Arabidopsis thaliana: one gene and its partners. Each later gene encodes a partner of the first gene's protein in a complex. Each region holds a gene or a part of one and is shown on either strand. Other genes may lie near its edges.

What was found.
Region 2: EIF3K (region 1) and EIF3C share a complex: the UniProt entries of both Arabidopsis thaliana proteins name them as parts of the eukaryotic translation initiation factor 3 (eIF-3) complex.
Region 3: EIF3K (region 1) and TIF3B1 share a complex: the UniProt entries of both Arabidopsis thaliana proteins name them as parts of the eukaryotic translation initiation factor 3 (eIF-3) complex.

Annotation. Positions count from the first base shown.
Region 1 is NC_003075.7:16,037,660-16,042,580, reverse strand, and holds EIF3K (eukaryotic translation initiation factor 3K), read left to right. Parts: upstream 1-1,772; 5' UTR 1,773-1,963; coding exon 1,964-2,077; intron 2,078-2,167; coding exon 2,168-2,224; intron 2,225-2,317; coding exon 2,318-2,431; intron 2,432-2,661; coding exon 2,662-2,712; intron 2,713-2,793; coding exon 2,794-2,860; intron 2,861-3,054; coding exon 3,055-3,137; intron 3,138-3,320; coding exon 3,321-3,515; 3' UTR 3,516-3,930; downstream 3,931-4,921. Other genes in the region: CDC20.2 (Transducin family protein / WD-40 repeat family protein), read left to right, coding at 1-77, 180-449, 530-1,111, 1,205-1,348. UniProt on the Arabidopsis thaliana protein: Component of the eukaryotic translation initiation factor 3 (eIF-3) complex, which is involved in protein synthesis of a specialized repertoire of mRNAs and, together with other initiation factors, stimulates binding of mRNA and methionyl-tRNAi to the 40S ribosome.
Region 2 is NC_003074.8:20,833,781-20,840,712, reverse strand, and holds the start of EIF3C (eukaryotic translation initiation factor 3C), read left to right. Parts: upstream 1-3,437; 5' UTR 3,438-3,648; intron 3,649-3,838; exon of another isoform or gene 3,839-3,861; 5' UTR 3,862-3,892; coding exon 3,893-3,916; intron 3,917-4,004; coding exon 4,005-5,759; intron 5,760-5,999; coding exon 6,000-6,923; 3' UTR 6,924-6,932. Other genes in the region: AT3G56160 (Sodium Bile acid symporter family), read left to right, coding at 58-125, 316-394, 766-824, 911-979, 1,225-1,338, 1,658-1,679, 1,864-1,931, 2,319-2,404 and 3 more. UniProt on the Arabidopsis thaliana protein: Component of the eukaryotic translation initiation factor 3 (eIF-3) complex, which is involved in protein synthesis of a specialized repertoire of mRNAs and, together with other initiation factors, stimulates binding of mRNA and methionyl-tRNAi to the 40S ribosome.
Region 3 is NC_003076.8:9,781,849-9,788,780, forward strand, and holds the start of TIF3B1 (translation initiation factor 3B1), read right to left. Parts: upstream 3,441-6,932; 5' UTR 3,343-3,440; intron 3,328-3,342; exon of another isoform or gene 2,936-3,327; 5' UTR 2,912-2,935; coding exon 2,802-2,911; intron 2,552-2,801; coding exon 2,314-2,551; intron 2,217-2,313; coding exon 1,992-2,216; intron 1,719-1,991; coding exon 1,590-1,718; intron 1,415-1,589; coding exon 1,286-1,414; intron 1,199-1,285; coding exon 1,115-1,198; intron 1,044-1,114; coding exon 919-1,043; intron 813-918; coding exon 614-812; intron 508-613; coding exon 1-507. Other genes in the region: AT5G27650 (Tudor/PWWP/MBT superfamily protein), read left to right, coding at 3,663-4,812, 5,178-6,932. UniProt on the Arabidopsis thaliana protein: RNA-binding component of the eukaryotic translation initiation factor 3 (eIF-3) complex, which is involved in protein synthesis of a specialized repertoire of mRNAs and, together with other initiation factors, stimulates binding of mRNA and methionyl-tRNAi to the 40S ribosome.

The DNA of each region.
Region 1 (4,921 bases):
AACTGCTTCCGAGCAATCACTCTGCTTCTCTTCACCAACAACCCAAATCTGTAAAGCCTCGTCGATACATTCCTCAGGTATGTACTGTATTTATTGCGTTTGATCCTTAAAGCTCACTTACTGGTTGCTGCATTAGAGTTGTATTGATCTGTTGCTAAACTTTCTGTTGTGATTAACAGACTTCTGAGAGAACCTTGGATGCACCTGACATTGTTGACGATTTCTACCTCAACTTGCTGGACTGGGGAAGTGCAAATGTCTTAGCCATAGCGTTGGACCACACTGTCTACTTGTGGGATGCTTCCACTGGTTCTACATCTGAGCTTGTGACCATTGATGAGGAGAAGGGACCTGTCACAAGTATCAACTGGGCTCCTGATGGTCGTCATGTTGCAGTTGGACTCAACAACTCTGAAGTCCAGCTGTGGGATTCTGCATCCAACCGTCAAGTAATTACTACTCTCTCTCTTTTATGTTGAGATATAATATCCGGTGTTCTTAGTCTGATGTGTTTCTCATATTTCTGCAGCTGAGAACATTAAAGGGTGGTCACCAGTCAAGAGTAGGATCACTGGCATGGAACAATCATATCCTTACTACTGGAGGAATGGATGGACTGATCATCAACAATGATGTGAGGATCAGATCACCCATTGTGGAAACTTACAGAGGTCACACTCAAGAAGTTTGTGGGCTCAAGTGGTCAGGATCTGGACAACAACTAGCAAGTGGTGGCAACGACAATGTGGTACACATCTGGGATCGTTCTGTCGCTTCCTCAAACTCAACCACACAATGGCTGCACAGGCTTGAGGAACATACATCTGCTGTGAAGGCTCTTGCGTGGTGCCCTTTCCAAGCGAATTTGCTTGCAACTGGTGGTGGTGGAGGAGACAGGACGATAAAGTTCTGGAATACTCACACTGGGGCTTGCTTGAATTCAGTAGACACTGGTTCCCAAGTTTGTTCGTTGTTATGGAGCAAGAATGAAAGAGAGTTGCTTAGCTCACATGGGTTTACACAGAATCAGCTTACACTTTGGAAGTACCCATCCATGGTGAAAATGGCTGAGCTCACTGGTCATACATCAAGAGTTCTATATATGGCCCAGGTAACGTCATCAATTTCTTTAAGTGGTGAAGTAGTTTGAGTCTTTGAGGTCATTCAGTCCTTAAACTTGTGTTGTTTGTTGTGTTTTCTACAGAGTCCAGATGGTTGTACTGTAGCTTCAGCAGCAGGAGACGAGACCCTGAGGTTTTGGAACGTTTTTGGAGTACCAGAGACTGCAAAAAAAGCTGCACCAAAAGCAGTTGCCGAGCCATTTTCTCATGTGAATCGTATTCGATGAAGCTGTTGAAGACTAAAACAACAAGGAAAACCCATTGATTGTTACAAAAAGAAACTATATATTTTTATTTTTATTTTATTACCAAAGGATTCATTCTTCGTGAATATAAAGATTACTTGTATATATTGAAATTTGAAAAAAGAAAGATTATGATTTTATACTCTTGAAGGATATCCACATTTATTATTCTACTGGAAACAAAGTGAGACTTCATGAAGTTGTGATCAGAGAACTCGTAGATGCTGACAGTTTTGTTTGAAAAGATGTTCACTGGTGAACTTTTGGACCATGGTTAATCGAATGCAAACTCTAGTGTAGTATCAATCTTTAAAAGCAAACTGAGAAAATATTTATTTACCGAGTCTGTGGCATCAAAATGGCTTAAAAATAGTTATTTACTAAACAACCCTTTGTAGTTTCTCTGTCATCCTAATTTAACCCAAACGTTTTGTCAATTGCACCATTAGCCCAAACGACAAAGCTTTGTCGTTTTGGCTTTTAAACCCTAGATTCGTCTTATCAGCGAATCTCCTCTGCACATTCCTCAGTGATCTATCAAAGTTCGAAGAGACCGACGCAAAAGGGACAGAAACGGAGAAGGAGAAAGAGGCAGAGATGGGAGTAGAGATCCAATCGCCGCAGGAACAGAGCTCTTACACCGTTGAGCAGCTCGTCGCCCTTAATCCTTTCAACCCTGAAATCCTGCCTGATCTCGAAAACTACGTTAACGTGCAGTTTCCTTTCCCTTTTCTCTCAAGCCGGATTCTGTTGTAGAAATCGTGTTCCATTGATTGTTGTTGGTTTCGTTATGATTTTCAGGTTACATCGCAAACGTATAGTCTGGAAGTAAACCTATGCTTGCTTCGGCTCTATCAGGTGCTCTAGTTGTTCTTAAGCTGGACCTTTTGATACCAAATTCAAGAGTTTTAGTGTCTCTTTTCGTTAATTGGTATTGTTGCTTTTATGCAGTTTGAGCCTGAGCGCATGAACACTCATATCGTGGCTCGAATCTTGGTCAAGGCTCTTATGGCTATGCCAACTCCAGACTTCAGCCTTTGCCTCTTCTTGATTCCCGAAAGAGTGGTATTCTTCTTTCCTCTTAACTTCACAATGTTTTGCTTTCTTACATATATAGCTTATCGTAGATACAGAAGAAACGATTGTTCAAATGTTTCTGACTCAAGTTATTATGCCATTCCAAGTTATTTCTGTCAGTTCAGTCTGTGTACTGAGCATTCATGATAAAGTGTGAGTTTCAATGTGTTGGATTCTTGAGGACTAATAAATGTACTTGTTTGGATTGTGTGTTTCAGCAAATGGAGGAGCAGTTCAAGTCACTAATTGTTCTATCACACTACCTTGAGGTACGCAAACATCAGTATTAGTTAGTTGAGAGTTGAAAAGGTGTGCATTGAGTATTTAAAGCACTTGTTTTTCTTTTGCAGACTGGGAGGTTCCAACAGTTCTGGGATGAAGCTGCCAAGAACCGTCACATTCTCGAGGCTGTTCCAGGTAACTAACTTCTGAATCATAAATAAATCGTCTACTAATAACAAATTTCTAGATGTAGATTTGTTACTTAAGGATATTTGTGTGTAGATGTCTTATGGTACGAACAAAGTCCTCAGTAGTGGTTTATGGTACTGTCTATTCATTTTATGATTGTGTCTAGTGTAGATGTCTTATATGCGAGAGATTAAATGCAGGTTTTGAGCAAGCTATTCAAGCATATGCAAGTCACCTTCTTAGCTTAAGCTACCAAAAGGTTCCAAGATCAGTGCTGGCTGAGGTATGATGTTTGGTTTATGATCTCGTTTTCACCACGGATAGCTTAAGTCATCAAAATAGTAGAACTTCGGATGTGAAATCTTTTACTTTCTCATATAATTTTCTGTTACGAATATTCCACATCATAGTTCTGGAAATCTAATTTGTTGACCTTTTATTTGTCAATAAATGACAATTTTCACAGGCTGTTAACATGGATGGTGCATCTCTAGACAAATTCATCGAGCAGCAAGTGACTAACAGTGGATGGATTGTTGAGAAAGAGGGTGGAAGTATTGTCTTACCACAAAATGAATTTAACCATCCGGAGCTCAAGAAAAATACAGGTGAGAATGTTCCCTTGGAACACATTGCCCGCATCTTCCCCATCCTTGGTTGAACCAATTCATGAGAACACTGCAAATTTTCCTTTTGTCTCTTGTTATCTTGTGATGTACACTTTTAAGACACCGTAATGTGAATTTTGGCAATGGCCTTCCTCTTTGCAATTTGACAGATTTTCTTAAAAATCTAGTAGACCGAGACTTTGCCATAATTAGTAGATCTTCATAGTCTGAGCTCTGCTTCTTACCTTTTTTTTTACCTTCCATGGATTCCAATACTGGTTTCTCAACAAGTGTTGGAATTGGCTCGTTTCTGATTGATTATCTTCTGTTTACTTCATTACATCTAAATAAACTAAACGAATCTTCAGACAACCCAAACAATTGTCTTCTTTAAAAAGCAAAGGAAAAAAAAAACTTTTGTTTAGGTTTCTTGGAATATAGAAACTGACACGGCAAATTTGTATTGAGAAAGTTTGAAATACAAAGAGACTGTCTATGTCTTGTCGTCCTCTCTACACAGATCACATACGAAGATTGACAGCCATCCATTTGGAAGCTCACATGTTGACACCAAATCATGTCACGTGCACAATTTTCTCTTTTCCCATGCATATTTTGACTGCTCCCTATGTGATAAATTTGACTGATTAAACTATAATTAGTTAGATCATCTCGTATCTAAGATGATTGCTTAAAACAATACTATTATTCTACTAACAACTAGGTTATTCCCAAGATCATAACTTTTGATTTTGATGTAACTAGTTTTGTAATTTTGTACATATATGAGACTTTTTTGAATTGCTTAACAGAATAAATAATTGAATTTTATGAATATAATATATAAATTTTCAATTTGATCGACAACAATGAACGGTGTTTTATTTATAATTGTTTTTTTGACAATCATGAACCTAATGATTTGTTTTTTCTATTTTATTTAGTCGACATAATGAAGACTAATGAAGATACAATATGTGATTGAAGTGAACAAGTTAGATTTAATTAAGATACGTGGAGGATATAAAGAAGGGTGATAAATACGTGAATAAAAAGTGAAATAAACAAAGGCAAACGATCAGACAGACAAGTCGTGAACATAAAAACGGGAGAGACAGGAAAAACAAAAGAAAGCCAGACGAGCACCAAAAAAGAAACTGCAAATCTTCGTTTATGTAAATCTTCTTACCGTCTCTCTCTTGTATTTCTTCAATTTCAAAGGTGGCTTTTTTTTCTTTCTTTGTTGGGTATTAATCTGAGAGAAATTGAGGAAAACTGTTTTCCCCTTTCTATGTTCTCAGCTTGGCACTTTTCTTTGAGATTATGGTTAATTGGTTCCCTTTTGGAAATTGATTTCAAATCTTATCCAGAAGAAATTTGGTGCCTTCTGTTTTTAAACAAATTTTCTAGAGTTTCCGTGTTTAATTTTTGTTTCTTATTTTGTTTTCTATTAAAAAAT
Region 2 (6,932 bases), on another chromosome or scaffold:
TTTGTTTCTGTCGAATAGCTTATCAAATGTGTACTCTTTTCATGTATTGTGGAGCAGGGTTGACTTTACGTACCGAAGCGATTGGTGCTGCTGTCAAAGGGTGGCCTCTTGGACTCTTTGGGCTAGTATGATCTTGACTCATCTTTAGCTTTCATATGTTCTGTGAATGTTTCCTCTTCTGTAGATCTCTTCTGCTAAGTTCTGAAAATAAGAAAATCTAATGAATAGAAACCTTTTGGTAATGCTTTTCCTTTTTTTAACTCCTGTTAGTTATACTACATACTTAAACGCAAACTATTTCTCTTTTTCTTTCAGATCTCTATTTTGTTGCTCACTCCATCCTTCTCAAGGCTAATTATGTTGGTCCAACTCCAACCTCGTGAACTTGTTACAGGTTACTCTTTCTCTATCTTAAACTTAGTGTCAAGTAAAACTTCAAAGACCACGTTCTTTCCTGAACTTGTTACTGCTTATATTGTATCGGCTTCCATTGATTTACATTACATCTACAGTTTTTGTTAAATTGTCTCTCGTTATATAATATCTGACAACTAATTGATCAACTATAGCTGCGTTATTAAGTAGTAATCTGATTGCCTTTGTGATCTTGTATCCAACAGTTCCACTTTGACGTTGTCTTTGAATCTTGATCCGTTTCTTACATTTATGGTTCAATTTTGAATACCTTATTCTTCAGTTCCAGCTCAGTAGTGAGTTAGTGATTGAGGAGTCCAAAACTTATGTATGTCCTTTTGCTCTTTACAGGGCTGGGTATATTTTGCTGTATGCCAACCACCTTATCAAGTGGTGTTGCCCTTACTCACGTACTCAATTTGATATAAGTCTAATCAATATTTTGTGCAAAACTGTTTTTCTTGCGTTCCACTGACTTATCATATTGCCAATTCAGCTTGCTGGTGGTAATGCTGCTCTTGCTCTTGCTGTGACAGTGGCATCTAACTTATTAGGAATTTTAACTGTAAGCCGAACGACTTGCATATTATTGTTCCTCCTTTGAAACTAGTTGATCATGCAGAATCAGGGGTATTTTTAGTAAGATTGTTTCCTGGTCTATATTTCCGAATTGCTTAGCAATTTGTTCTCAAAACAACTCATGATCTTGTATCTATGACTATGAGTAGGATTCAAACTTCAAAGTCTTCTATTAAGAATGAGTATTGCGTCTTCTGACACTGAAGTTAACGTGGTTTGACCTCTAATCAGATTCCATTTTGGGTATCAAGATACATAGCTGGGGGAGTAGGGGTTTCGTTTCCTACTGACCAACTATTCAGAAGTCTTATAGTTACTCTGTTAATTCCTTTAATCATTGGCAAGGTGAGACAATCTTTCTGTTTGTCCTGTTCTTGCAATGATGAATCAATATAAATTCTGATATACGGTACAATTGTGAAAGCTAAATTTGCAGAGGTGGTTGTTGCCAAAAGATATGTGAATACTTTATTGGAAATTATAATAGGGTTGTTGCGTGGCTCATTTGAAAATGAAGAAAGCTTACTCTCTATTATTTGTTACTTTCCCTGATGTTTATATGAACCTTTCACAAACAGTCATTTCAGCATGAAGTTCTATCACTTGCCATTTTGCACACGTTTTTAAAATCGAGCTTTGACATACTTGGTTTCTTCTGTTATAGGTTATTCGAGAATCATTCAAAGGTGAGCGCCATTTGTTATATTTTACTTCTCTGGTGAAAGTAATTGAATACATACCATTTTAAATAGTTAGCAGTCACTTTATCGTGACAATGGATCAAAATGGTTCTGTTTATAATAAATATATATGCTTATCGCTGCCTACTTTCTGACCTTGTTGAAACTCTTGTTGAAATGTGTGATACAGGTTTCGCAAACTTTGTTGACAATAACCGTAAACTCTTTTCGAAAATCAACGCAATCTGCCTCAGTTTGGTAAGATATGAAATGTTAGTCTCCCGTAATTTCTACACCCCTTGAATAACTTTCTGAAGTCATATCCTTGGAGTTTTGCTTTGTTGCAGGAATCTTAAACTTGGCATTTTAGATGCCTGTACTTAAAACTTTCTCTTTTCTTGTATGATAGCTTGGGATTTCAACATTCCGTGGCATTGATGTGCCAATCCAAAGCTTTTACTAAATTGCAAAAACCATATTTGCAGTCACGGTTATGACTTTGGAGATAGAAGGACTTAATACTTTTTTCCTTTTTATAGTTTAACCTCTGCTTCCCTGGCTACTTCAACTGGTCTGACTTTGTTATTGCATTTACCTGGTTATTTTGGGAACTTAATAGTGTTTATTCCATGATTAATATTCTAGGTGCCATGGATCCAAGTGAGCAGGTCAAGATCACTGCTACTATCCGTTCAACCTAAGGTTTTCCTTGCAGCAGTTGGCATTGGAATGTACGCATTCTTCTTTTAACATATAGAAAAGATACCAAGTGAAGAAGCTCATGGAAATATTTGGCTTGTGTGTTAGAAATGCGGATTACGTTTGACAGAAGATTCTTACGTCTTCTTACAGATTGCTGCATCTTTCTCTACTAGCATTCAATGCTGTTTCAATCCGCATCCTCTCCGGTCTTACAGGTGGTAGCAAGAGCTCCAAGGAAAACAGCACTGCAGTTTTGCTCGTTTCAAGCCAGGTAATAATAGAGTTTGCCTTTTAGAACCGATTTTGATCTCTTAAATTTGGGAGTTCTTTTCTTGTGGTGGCATAGAAAACATTACCGGTAATGGTGGCGGTAGTAGAGCAATTAGGAGGTGCATTTGGTGAGACAGGGCTATTGGTTCTTCCTTGTGTAGCTGCACACCTGAACCAGGTTACAAATTGTATTATAATCATCATGTACTTGTGTGCATAATTTTATAAATTATTGACGTAAATCTGGAATGTTACAGATCATGATTGATTCAGTTCTTGTCAACTTATGGCTCCGGAGAGGAAAAGATACTTCGACTAAAGTAAAGACAGCTTGAGAGAGAGAGAGAGAGATAGAAAGCAATGAAACCAATGCTGTGGAGAAGGTTACATCCTAAACACACTGAATGTCAGTTATATACATAGCAGCAAGACTGGGGATTTTGATATCTTTCCAATCACCAAAGCTTAGTTGATCATTGACCATCTCTCTCTCTCTCTCTCTTTCTGTATGTATATGCTCTAGAGATTCCGGTCGGTGTTTGCTGATCCAATTTGTATGATTTATGAAACTATGTAAAAAAAAAACTTGTATCTATATTTGAAAACATTTAGTCATTTGACGTTACCAGCGTACAAAGCAATTCATATGTAATCTGTCTGATAAGCAGCTAGGAAAGAGGACTAAGAACCGGTTCTTTTCTCAATTTAATTGAACTAACCATCACTACAATTTCATTTAGTCCTGGTTCGACCAATTCGGTTTGTAAATAAAATAAAAACCGATCGAGAGCGTTTTAATTGTCCTCGGTTTTCAGTTTCGGTATGGAAATAGAATCAAATCGAATCCGGTTTAGTGAGTAAATCACGAAACCCTAATTCTATATATTTTTTCATCTCGACCAAAATGCTTGGACGGCTACACACCATTTTTGTTTAGATTCGTAATCCTCCTCAAGCATCTCCTTCGCAAATCTCCATCTCCATCTCCATCTTCTGAATTCAGGTAATTTTGTTCCTCATCATCTAGCGTAACAAATTTTCGATTCTAGTTTGGTGTAGATTGATTCGAATCGATTCTAATTCTTTGTTGATACGAGTCTGTATCTGTGACACGATTGTTTCGTTCAGATTATGTTCTTCGAATGGATTGGTTTGTTTTACTTATAATTTCGTTCCTCTGATTCACTATTCAGATTTGTTACTTTTGGTGTATCAGGTTCTTGTTGCTTACGCTTCCAGCTAAAAAGATGACGTCTCGTTTTTTCACTCAGGTTTCCTTCAACAGACCTCTTGTTTATAAACTCTCTTTACCTTTACTTGCTTCAGTTTCTGAATGATTTTTACTTGTTATGTTGATAGGTTGGAAGTGAAAGTGAAGATGAAAGTGATTATGAGGTAGAGGTTAATGAGGTTCAGAATGATGACGTCAATAACCGTTACCTTCAAAGTGGTAGTGAGGATGATGATGATACTGATACGAAACGTGTGGTTAAGCCTGCTAAGGATAAACGTTTTGAGGAGATGACCTACACTGTTGATCAGATGAAGAATGCTATGAAGATCAATGATTGGGTCAGCCTTCAAGAAAACTTTGATAAGGTTAACAAACAGCTTGAGAAGGTTATGAGGATTACTGAGGCTGTGAAGCCTCCTACCTTGTATATCAAGACGCTTGTTATGTTGGAGGATTTCTTGAATGAAGCTCTTGCCAATAAGGAAGCCAAGAAGAAGATGAGTACTAGTAACTCCAAGGCTTTGAACTCAATGAAACAGAAATTGAAGAAGAACAATAAGTTGTACGAAGACGATATCAACAAGTATCGTGAGGCTCCAGAAGTTGAGGAAGAGAAACAACCTGAAGATGATGATGATGATGACGATGATGATGATGAGGTTGAAGATGATGATGATTCTTCCATCGACGGACCTACCGTAGATCCTGGGTCCGATGTGGATGAACCTACTGATAATCTCACTTGGGAGAAGATGCTGAGCAAAAAAGATAAGCTTTTGGAGAAGCTAATGAATAAAGATCCTAAAGAGATCACTTGGGACTGGGTCAACAAGAAGTTCAAGGAAATTGTGGCTGCTCGTGGAAAAAAGGGCACTGCTCGATTTGAGCTAGTTGATCAGCTTACGCACTTGACAAAGATTGCCAAGACTCCTGCACAGAAGCTTGAAATCTTGTTTAGCGTTATTTCGGCTCAGTTTGATGTGAATCCAGGTCTCAGCGGGCACATGCCTATCAATGTCTGGAAGAAATGCGTGCTTAACATGCTCACCATACTGGACATTCTCGTCAAGTACAGTAACATTGTTGTGGATGACACAGTTGAGCCTGATGAGAACGAAACTTCAAAGCCAACAGATTATGATGGAAAAATTCGGGTCTGGGGAAATTTGGTTGCATTCTTGGAGAGGGTTGACACTGAGTTTTTCAAGAGTTTGCAATGCATTGATCCTCACACCCGTGAGTATGTTGAGAGGCTAAGGGATGAGCCCATGTTCTTGGCCCTTGCTCAGAACATCCAGGACTACTTTGAGCGGATGGGTGATTTTAAAGCTGCTGCAAAGGTAGCCTTAAGACGTGTTGAGGCAATATACTACAAGCCCCAGGAAGTTTATGATGCAATGAGGAAATTGGCTGAGTTGGTGGAAGAAGAAGAAGAAACTGAGGAGGCCAAAGAGGAAAGTGGACCTCCTACTTCATTTATTGTTGTTCCGGAGGTTGTTCCCCGTAAGCCTACCTTCCCAGAGAGCAGCCGAGCTATGATGGATATTCTTGTGTCCCTTATCTACAGAAATGGAGATGAGCGGACCAAAGCGCGTGCGATGCTATGTGATATCAATCACCATGCTTTAATGGACAACTTTGTGACTGCTAGAGACCTGTTGCTGATGAGTCATCTGCAAGACAACATCCAGCACATGGACATCTCAACACAGATTCTCTTTAACAGGACCATGGCGCAGCTTGGTCTTTGCGCCTTCCGGGCTGGAATGATCACTGAGTCCCATAGCTGCCTTTCCGAGCTGTACTCTGGTCAAAGAGTGAGAGAGTTGCTTGCCCAAGGTGTCTCGCAAAGCCGATACCATGAGAAAACCCCGGAGCAGGTAACTAGTTATCTTCTGTTTTTAGATTTAATACAGATAGGATTGAAAAAAAATTGTTTGACCAGATAGTTCTGATTGAGACATGATTACAAACACTGTTGCATTTTTGGGTTCTTCATTTTGTTTCATTTCACACAATCCATTTTCTCTATTTCAACATGGATGCTTATGGTTATGTTTTTCGTTCAGTTTATTTATATGTGATATAAAACTTTCTTGGTTTATTTCTTGATTTACCAGGAAAGGATGGAAAGGAGAAGACAAATGCCGTACCACATGCACTTAAACCTTGAGCTTCTGGAGGCAGTTCATCTCATCTGTGCCATGCTTCTTGAAGTCCCAAACATGGCTGCAAACTCGCACGATGCCAAACGCAGAGTGATTAGCAAGAATTTCCGCCGCCTGCTCGAGATCAGTGAAAGGCAAGCATTCACTGCACCGCCTGAGAATGTACGTGACCATGTCATGGCAGCCACCAGAGCCCTGACCAAAGGAGATTTCCAGAAGGCGTTTGAAGTTTTGAACTCTCTTGAGGTCTGGAGGCTGCTCAAGAACCGTGACAGCATCCTTGACATGGTGAAGGATAGGATCAAAGAAGAGGCTCTAAGGACTTACCTATTCACATACTCAAGCTCTTATGAGTCCTTGAGTCTTGATCAGCTGGCCAAAATGTTTGACGTCTCTGAGCCGCAGGTCCACAGCATTGTGAGTAAGATGATGATTAATGAGGAACTGCATGCAAGCTGGGATCAGCCAACACGATGCATCGTCTTCCATGAAGTGCAACACAGCAGATTACAATCATTGGCTTTCCAGTTAACGGAGAAACTCTCGATTTTGGCAGAAAGCAATGAGAGGGCAATGGAATCTAGAACCGGTGGAGGTGGTCTGGATCTGAGTTCAAGGAGAAGGGACAACAATCAGGACTATGCAGGAGCAGCATCAGGTGGTGGTGGATATTGGCAAGACAAGGCGAATTACGGACAAGGAAGACAAGGCAACAGATCAGGTTATGGTGGAGGAAGATCATCTGGACAAAATGGTCAGTGGTCAGGGCAGAACCGAGGAGGAGGGTATGCAGGAAGAGTTGGTTCAGGAAACAGAGGTATGCAGATGGATGGCTCAAGCCGTATGGTGAGTCTTAACCGAGGTGTTCGTACTTAAAGAGGATGA
Region 3 (6,932 bases), on another chromosome or scaffold:
CGTGGCCATGAAGTGTTCAGCTGTGGCCATTGTCTCGAGCTCATCCACGTTGAAAAATTCAAGCTGGCCATTGAAACCTTTTAACCCAGCAAGAATTATGTACTTGCCTGTGGGCGACCAGAAGAGGGCATTAGCTTGTTTGGCCTTCAAAGTTGCGAGCTTTGAAACCCTTCCAGTGTTTTGTGCGGTCTTCATTGAGTAGAAACTGACATCTGGTCTTGGTTGGTCACCATGAATCACAGCAAACCTGTGACCCTTGGGCTCCCATGCAAAAGCAATGATCTTGTCGTTCTTGTTGTCCAGCTCAAGAACCTCGATGGGAATATCCCTTTCTTTGATACGGAAAAGTTCAAATCCAGAGTATGTGCTCTTCTTAGTTTTTGTGTATCGATCAACCTTGACAGCAAGATACTCTCCACTACTCTGCCAGTACATCTTGCAGTCGCTCACACTGAAGAGATTCTTCTGCCTCAGCTCCACCTTGCTCGGGATTTGGACTAGGGCAACCTGAAGAAGGGATATCAACATGTAATTTCAAAACACCAGGCAGAGAAACAGAAGCAAATTAAGGATTCAGAGCTTTTCATGTACATCAGAAATAATAGAAACATACCTTCGCAGGTTGGTTTCCACCACCTTGTTCAGGAACAAACAATGAAAGGATGGAATCAGTAGGAGACCAGCAGATATCCACAACATTATCTACCTTCATGGATTTCTTGTCTATTAGGCTGAAAGTCTCAGTCTCATAGACAGAGATAGTGTTTTTGCTAAGCTTGGCAAAGTATTTATCATCTTTTCCACCAGCCCATCTGTAGAAAAAGTTTACAAGATATCAACATATGTCCATAATAGTGGAGAAGATGATAATATTGGCTGTTTATTTTTAGGACATTGACATGCAGTTGAAAGAATTACCTGAAAACAGGCCAAGAGGCACCAGCAACACCACCAGGTCCTCCAATTGAAAACTCATCAGCACTACCCTTGAAATCTCTCATCATCCTCCCGGTTCTCACATCAAAAACCTTAATCTCAACTTTCTGAAAGTTTGACAGAATTCAGCGTCACAAATAGTAAAAGTTGAAAAGAACAGAAGAAAAGATGCACTCACACTTGCATCTCGCGGGTTGCTTGGTTCTTGGCTATGGTAAGTTACAAGATATTTCTCACCTGGCGAGAAATCAACTAGTTTTACCTAAAACATAATCAACAAAAGATGCAATTTTCAGGCCAACAGAGGAAAAACGGAAGTAATATGTAGCAATTGAAAGGAAATTCAAACCATAGAATGCTGATAACGCATGAGACGCGTGAATGTATCAGCACCACCCCAAACAGCTGCCCCCTGCTTGTGGAGTGTCACAAGGTATGTACCTAAAGGAGACCACTGCACATAACTCTCTGTCCAATACTGCATAGGAAGAGAACATCATTAATTCAAATGAAGGTAACATAACATATAAAAGTGCTCTAAACAGTCAAGTAAACAAATAAGGGATATTAATTCAAATGAAGGTAACATAACATATACATTGCTCTAAACAGTCAAGTAAACAAAAGGGATATACACACAGGAAGTAACTTACAGGACGCTTATGAACAGGTTCAGGCGCCTTCTGCCTAGTATCATTCCAGAAAACTTCAGTATCAGGGCCAGAACGAATGACTAGCTGGTCTCGGGCTTTTTCATCAGTAAGCCATTTTTGCAAATTTTCCTGAAAAAACAAACACCATATAAGTAACGACAATTAGCACCACAAAAGGCTGCAATGAATTAAAATATATACATGAAACAAGAGTTATGAAATTATAGTTATTAGTTAGTATACATCAATTACGTAAAAAGATCCTAACCCTAACGCAGCAGGCAAACACAAAATAAATCAGCGAATTACCAAAATAAAGAAGTGATTACACAGACACAATGGAAGTTATTCAAAGAAAATTATTCAAGGTACAGGGAGTAACATGATGAAAACTACACATACCCCAGGGACGTAGGGCCTGGCCTGAGGAGGCTCCCACTCCTCCTTCACATTCATCAACCTGTCAAAATCATCGAACATGTTTACAGCAAAGATGTGAGACTTGTCCAACTTGTAGCCATGAGACTTTTCCTTAGCGTTTTGTGCTTCCTGCAAAGAGCCCCAGACATTGAGAGAAACTCTTAGGAAATACTCAACCATTAAGAACAACCTAGTTTGGGCTCCTTTCTAACAAGAGAAATAAAGTATTGAAACATATGACGCCGACATTATTGCTTCAGAATCCAACAAAACAGAGATTAAGCTAATCAAGTAGATAAATAACCTGAGGAGTGTTGAACTCAATAAAACAGTAGCCCAATGTCATCTTGGTATCGGGATCAACAGGCATCCACAGTCCATTTTCCTTAATCACACCTAACTGGTTGTAAATTTTCTTGACAACACCTTCAAGTTTCTCAAACTTCTCCTTGGGAACAACAGGGAGGTGATCGACCACGATAATGTTACCGAATCCAGTGTCGAATTCAGACTGGTCATCCTGGTAAACAGCTTCATCATCACTACAACCATCACAGAAAAAAAAAGTGTATAACGAATCAGTTCCATTTTTCATACGTTCATAGATAAAATGTATAAATATAATAAGCTTTGCACCATCAAGGAAAGAGATAAACCAATTCGAAATACACAAAATTTTCATACATACAATAGCAAAACCTAGAATAAAATCATCCCATCGTATAAACACAAGAAGATTAGAAATAGAAGTGACCGTATATGAACAACCAGAGATCTAAAGGAAAATCTCACCTCTCGATCCCAAAGTCTTCTCCAGGAGGAAGTTGGATGGAATCAAAATTAACCTGAGACCAATCAATCCCTAACTTAGCAGCTCGGGCATCAATATCAACGACCTCCATGATTTCAAACCTTATATCAAAAATCTGCCAAAGAAAGCCATATAGAGAGAGCTATCAGTCTTTAACACATTCCAACTTTAAGTCGATAAATAAATGTGAAAAATCTGAGTCTTTAGATCTAAAAGTAGGTTTTTTGTTAACCCTAAACAAGTATTAAAACAACAAACTACCATGGCCAAATGTTCAAAGACTAAAACTTTGAATCATCACTCCCACTATAATGTAAATCTAAAACCATGCCTATAGAAATTATTAACTATACTCTAGTTTTATTTAATCTAGAACCCAACAACAGGTGAAATGGAGAAAAATGGCAAAATTTTCCTGAAGGCTCTCTTATATCTATTGCATCGTTCTGGATCCTGTCTCATAGCTACATAAGAAAAGACAAAAAAAACAAATGAACACTGAAATCGAGATAAGAAACGTACCCAATACAGAGATCAGCCGAGAGCAAAAAACAAAGAAGAAGACGGCGCTTGAAGGTGAGGAAGAAGGAGCGATTGTTTTCAGGTCTTTTTGGATCATACGACGTCGGTTCCTTAAACGGGCTTATAAATATTTATATGGGCCGGGTAAGCCCAATTCAATAGTAATCAGTAGATCTAATTTATTGTCTTTCTCTCGATTAGCTTTTTTTTTTTTTTAACAATAATCCGTCTCTTTCATTTGGTGTCCTCGAGAACCAAATTCGGATAATCTCTCATCGGAGGATCGTTGTTGTTGTTGCTAGGGTTCTTATCGATTTGTAATGTACAAAACTAAATTAATCCCGGTGATGAACGAGGATGCTGTGATTGTTCAACAAACGGATTCGATTCAGGATCCTAAGGTAACTCCAGATGATACTGTAGTTGATTCGAGCGGGGATGTTCACGAAGCCATTGATGATGATGTTGAAGCTTCTTCACCTATGGAGCTAGATTCGGCGGTTACAAATGACGCTAGGGTTCTCGAAAGTGAGAGATCGGAGAAAGATGGTGTCGTAGGGAGTGAGGAGGAAGATGAGATTAAAAGCGAGGATGTTTTAATTGATAAGGATGATGAGAGTTCTGAGGTTAAAGAAGAAGAAGAAGAAGAAGATGGCTCTGATGATCAATCTAGTGAGCTTGGTTCTGAAGCTGATGAGAAGGAATTAGATTTGGGTTTGAAGGAAGAGAAAAAAGGAGTTTCGGATTATAAATCTCTTTTATCTGAGTTTGATGATTATGTTGCAAGTGAGAAAATGGGTTCTGGAGTTTCGAGGGCATTGAGTTATGGGTTTGAAGTTGGAGATTTGGTTTGGGGAAAGGTAAAGTCTCATCCTTGGTGGCCTGGTCATATATTCAATGAAGCTTTTGCGTCTCCTTCTGTTCGTCGTATGAGGAGGATTGATCATGTTCTTGTTGCGTTTTTCGGTGATAGTAGTTATGGTTGGTTTGATCCTGCTGAGCTTATTCCTTTCGAACCGAATTTAGAGGAGAAATCACAGCAGACGGTTTCGAAGCATTTTGTGAGAGCTGTGGAGGAAGCCAAGGATGAGGCGAGTAGAAGGTCAGCTCTTGGTTTGACTTGTAAATGTCGGAATCCTTATAACTTTAGGCCTAGTAATGTGGAAGATTACTTTGCTGTTGATGTGCCTGATTACGAGCTTCAAGCCGTTTACTCTGTTGATCAGATTAAGAATTCTAGGGATAAGTTTTTACCCGCTGAAACCATTTCGTTTGTGAAGCAATTGGCGTTAGCACCTCAAGAGTGTGATCCAGACAGTTTAAAGTTTATGAAGAAGAAAGCAGTGGTTTTTGCTTTCCGCAAGTCAGTGTTTGAGGAGTTTGATGAAACTTATGCACAGGCCTTTGGGACAAAATCACCCCGCAGTTCAGTGAGTACGCTGGAACCTCATAATAGAGCACCGCCTCGAGGTATTAGCCACTTTTCAGAAAATCATGTTATTGTTTGTATATGGGTTTTTTCGTTGTAGACTTGAAACAGCTTTCATATGTGTTACATAGATATTAGATACTGTAACTTGGTTTTAGGGTTTTACTTTTAGATCCTCTGTGCTCATGATTTTAGGATTTATATCTTTGTAGTTGAATTCTTTACATAGCATGCTTGAAAGAATAGTGAAGTCTCATTGATGCTAAACTGTGCATTCGAAAACGTGGCCTGATAACAATTCTGCGCCTCTTTCTACTATGGAGAGTCCCGCATACATTTACCTTGTTTGCTTTATTGTTCATTTTCTTGGTGGGTGATGTGTTGTTTCAATTTCTCTTATTTCCAGCTCCCTTGAGTGGCCCACTGGTCATAGCAGAAACGCTAGGTGACCTTAAGAGCTCTAAAAAACCCACAAAGGTTAAGGTCTCTAAAAAAAAAGACAAGTATCTTCTCAAACGAAGGGATGAAGCTGGTGATAAGTCTGTTCAGTTTGGCGAAATTGAAGCAAGTTCAGAAGCTTCTCATATCCAGGGAATTGATGGATCTTTGGATGGGGATTTTGGGCTGCAGAGAAGAGCTCCGACGCTTCAAACTCCAATGAAAGATGAGAAGTCTGGGATCGTCAGCATGGATTTTGCCTCTTCAAATACAGCTATTCCTGGTAAAGAATTTTCAGCTTCAAAGCCCTCTCTTGATGAAGAAAAGGGTCTAGCTGAAAAATCAAAGGAGAGAATGGAAGAAAGAGCTGCTGTACTTCCAGAGCATGGGAAATCTGAAGCTATGGCGAGTCTTAAACCTAAAGAAGAAGCTGGAACAGATCTTGGATCAGCTGGAAGTTCTCTCCAGCCTCTGCTTGAGTCTCATACCTCAGCATCTGAGGGGAAAAGTTCCACAGGGTCTGTAATCAAGAAAGTCAAAGTTGCTAAACGATCTTCAAGTGAAATGAGCTCGGAGAATCCTCCTTCAGAGCCAAAAAAGAAAAAGAAAAAGAAGAAAGAGCCTGATTCTGACCATCCAGTGAAGAGAAAAAATTTGTATTCTGGGGAAGCTGGGGCCAAGAAATTGTCCCAGCTTGGTTCAGCGCATTTACAAACCTATATGGAAGCCGATGTGCCGCAGCTGTTGAGCCATCTGCAAGATCTCTCTCTTGACCCTTTCCACGGTTTATCCGTTGCTTCTTTTGGAACTGCTAGGAAATTTTTTCTCCGTTTCCGTTCACTTAATTACCAGAAAAGCTTGTCTGTATCTTCCTCTGATGCTACTGTCGAAAATGCCAGAGACACAAAACCCTCAAAACCTGTCAAGACAGTGAAGAGAACCGAAGACCCATCAAAAGCTGGAAAAAAACGGCTCTCTTCTGATCGTCAAGATGAAATCCCATCAGCTAAGAAGCTGAAGAAAACTAATCAGTTGAAATCAATGGCTTCTGAAAAGAAGATCATTCGAGAAGCAAAGGATAGTATAAAACCAATAAGAGAGCCAAGCAGGGTGGTACAAGCAAAACCAGCCAGAGGTCAAACCGGGAAGAAAACAGCTCCATCAGTTAAGGTGGTTGAGCCAACAATGCTGGTCATGAAATTCCCACCTGGCACATCTCTCCCTTCAGCCGCATTGCTAAAGGCGAGGTTTGGTCGCTTCGGGCTGTTAGATCAATCCGCCATTAGGGTTTTCTGGAAATCATCGACCTGCCGTGTTGTCTTTCTGTACAAAGCCGATGCCCAGACTGCTTTTCGATATGCAACAGGAAACAACACTCTATTTGGAAACGTGAATGTAAAGTACTTTCTCCGTGATGTGGATGCTCCTAAAGCCGAGCCTCGTGAGCCAGAAAACACCAAGGAAGATGATGAACCACAGAGCCAGTGGTTGGACCAAGCACCACCGCTTCACCAACCAACATTACCGCCACCAAACGTCAACCTCAAATCCTGTTTGAAGAAACCAGTTGATGACCCGAGCAGTAGTAGCAACAATGGAAACGGTAACCGCGCAGCCGTAAGAGTCAAATTCATGTTAGGTGGTGAAGAAAACTCGAGTAAAGCAAACACCGAGCCACCACAGGTCACAATGACCTTGAATAGAAACAGTGGACCTTCTTCAT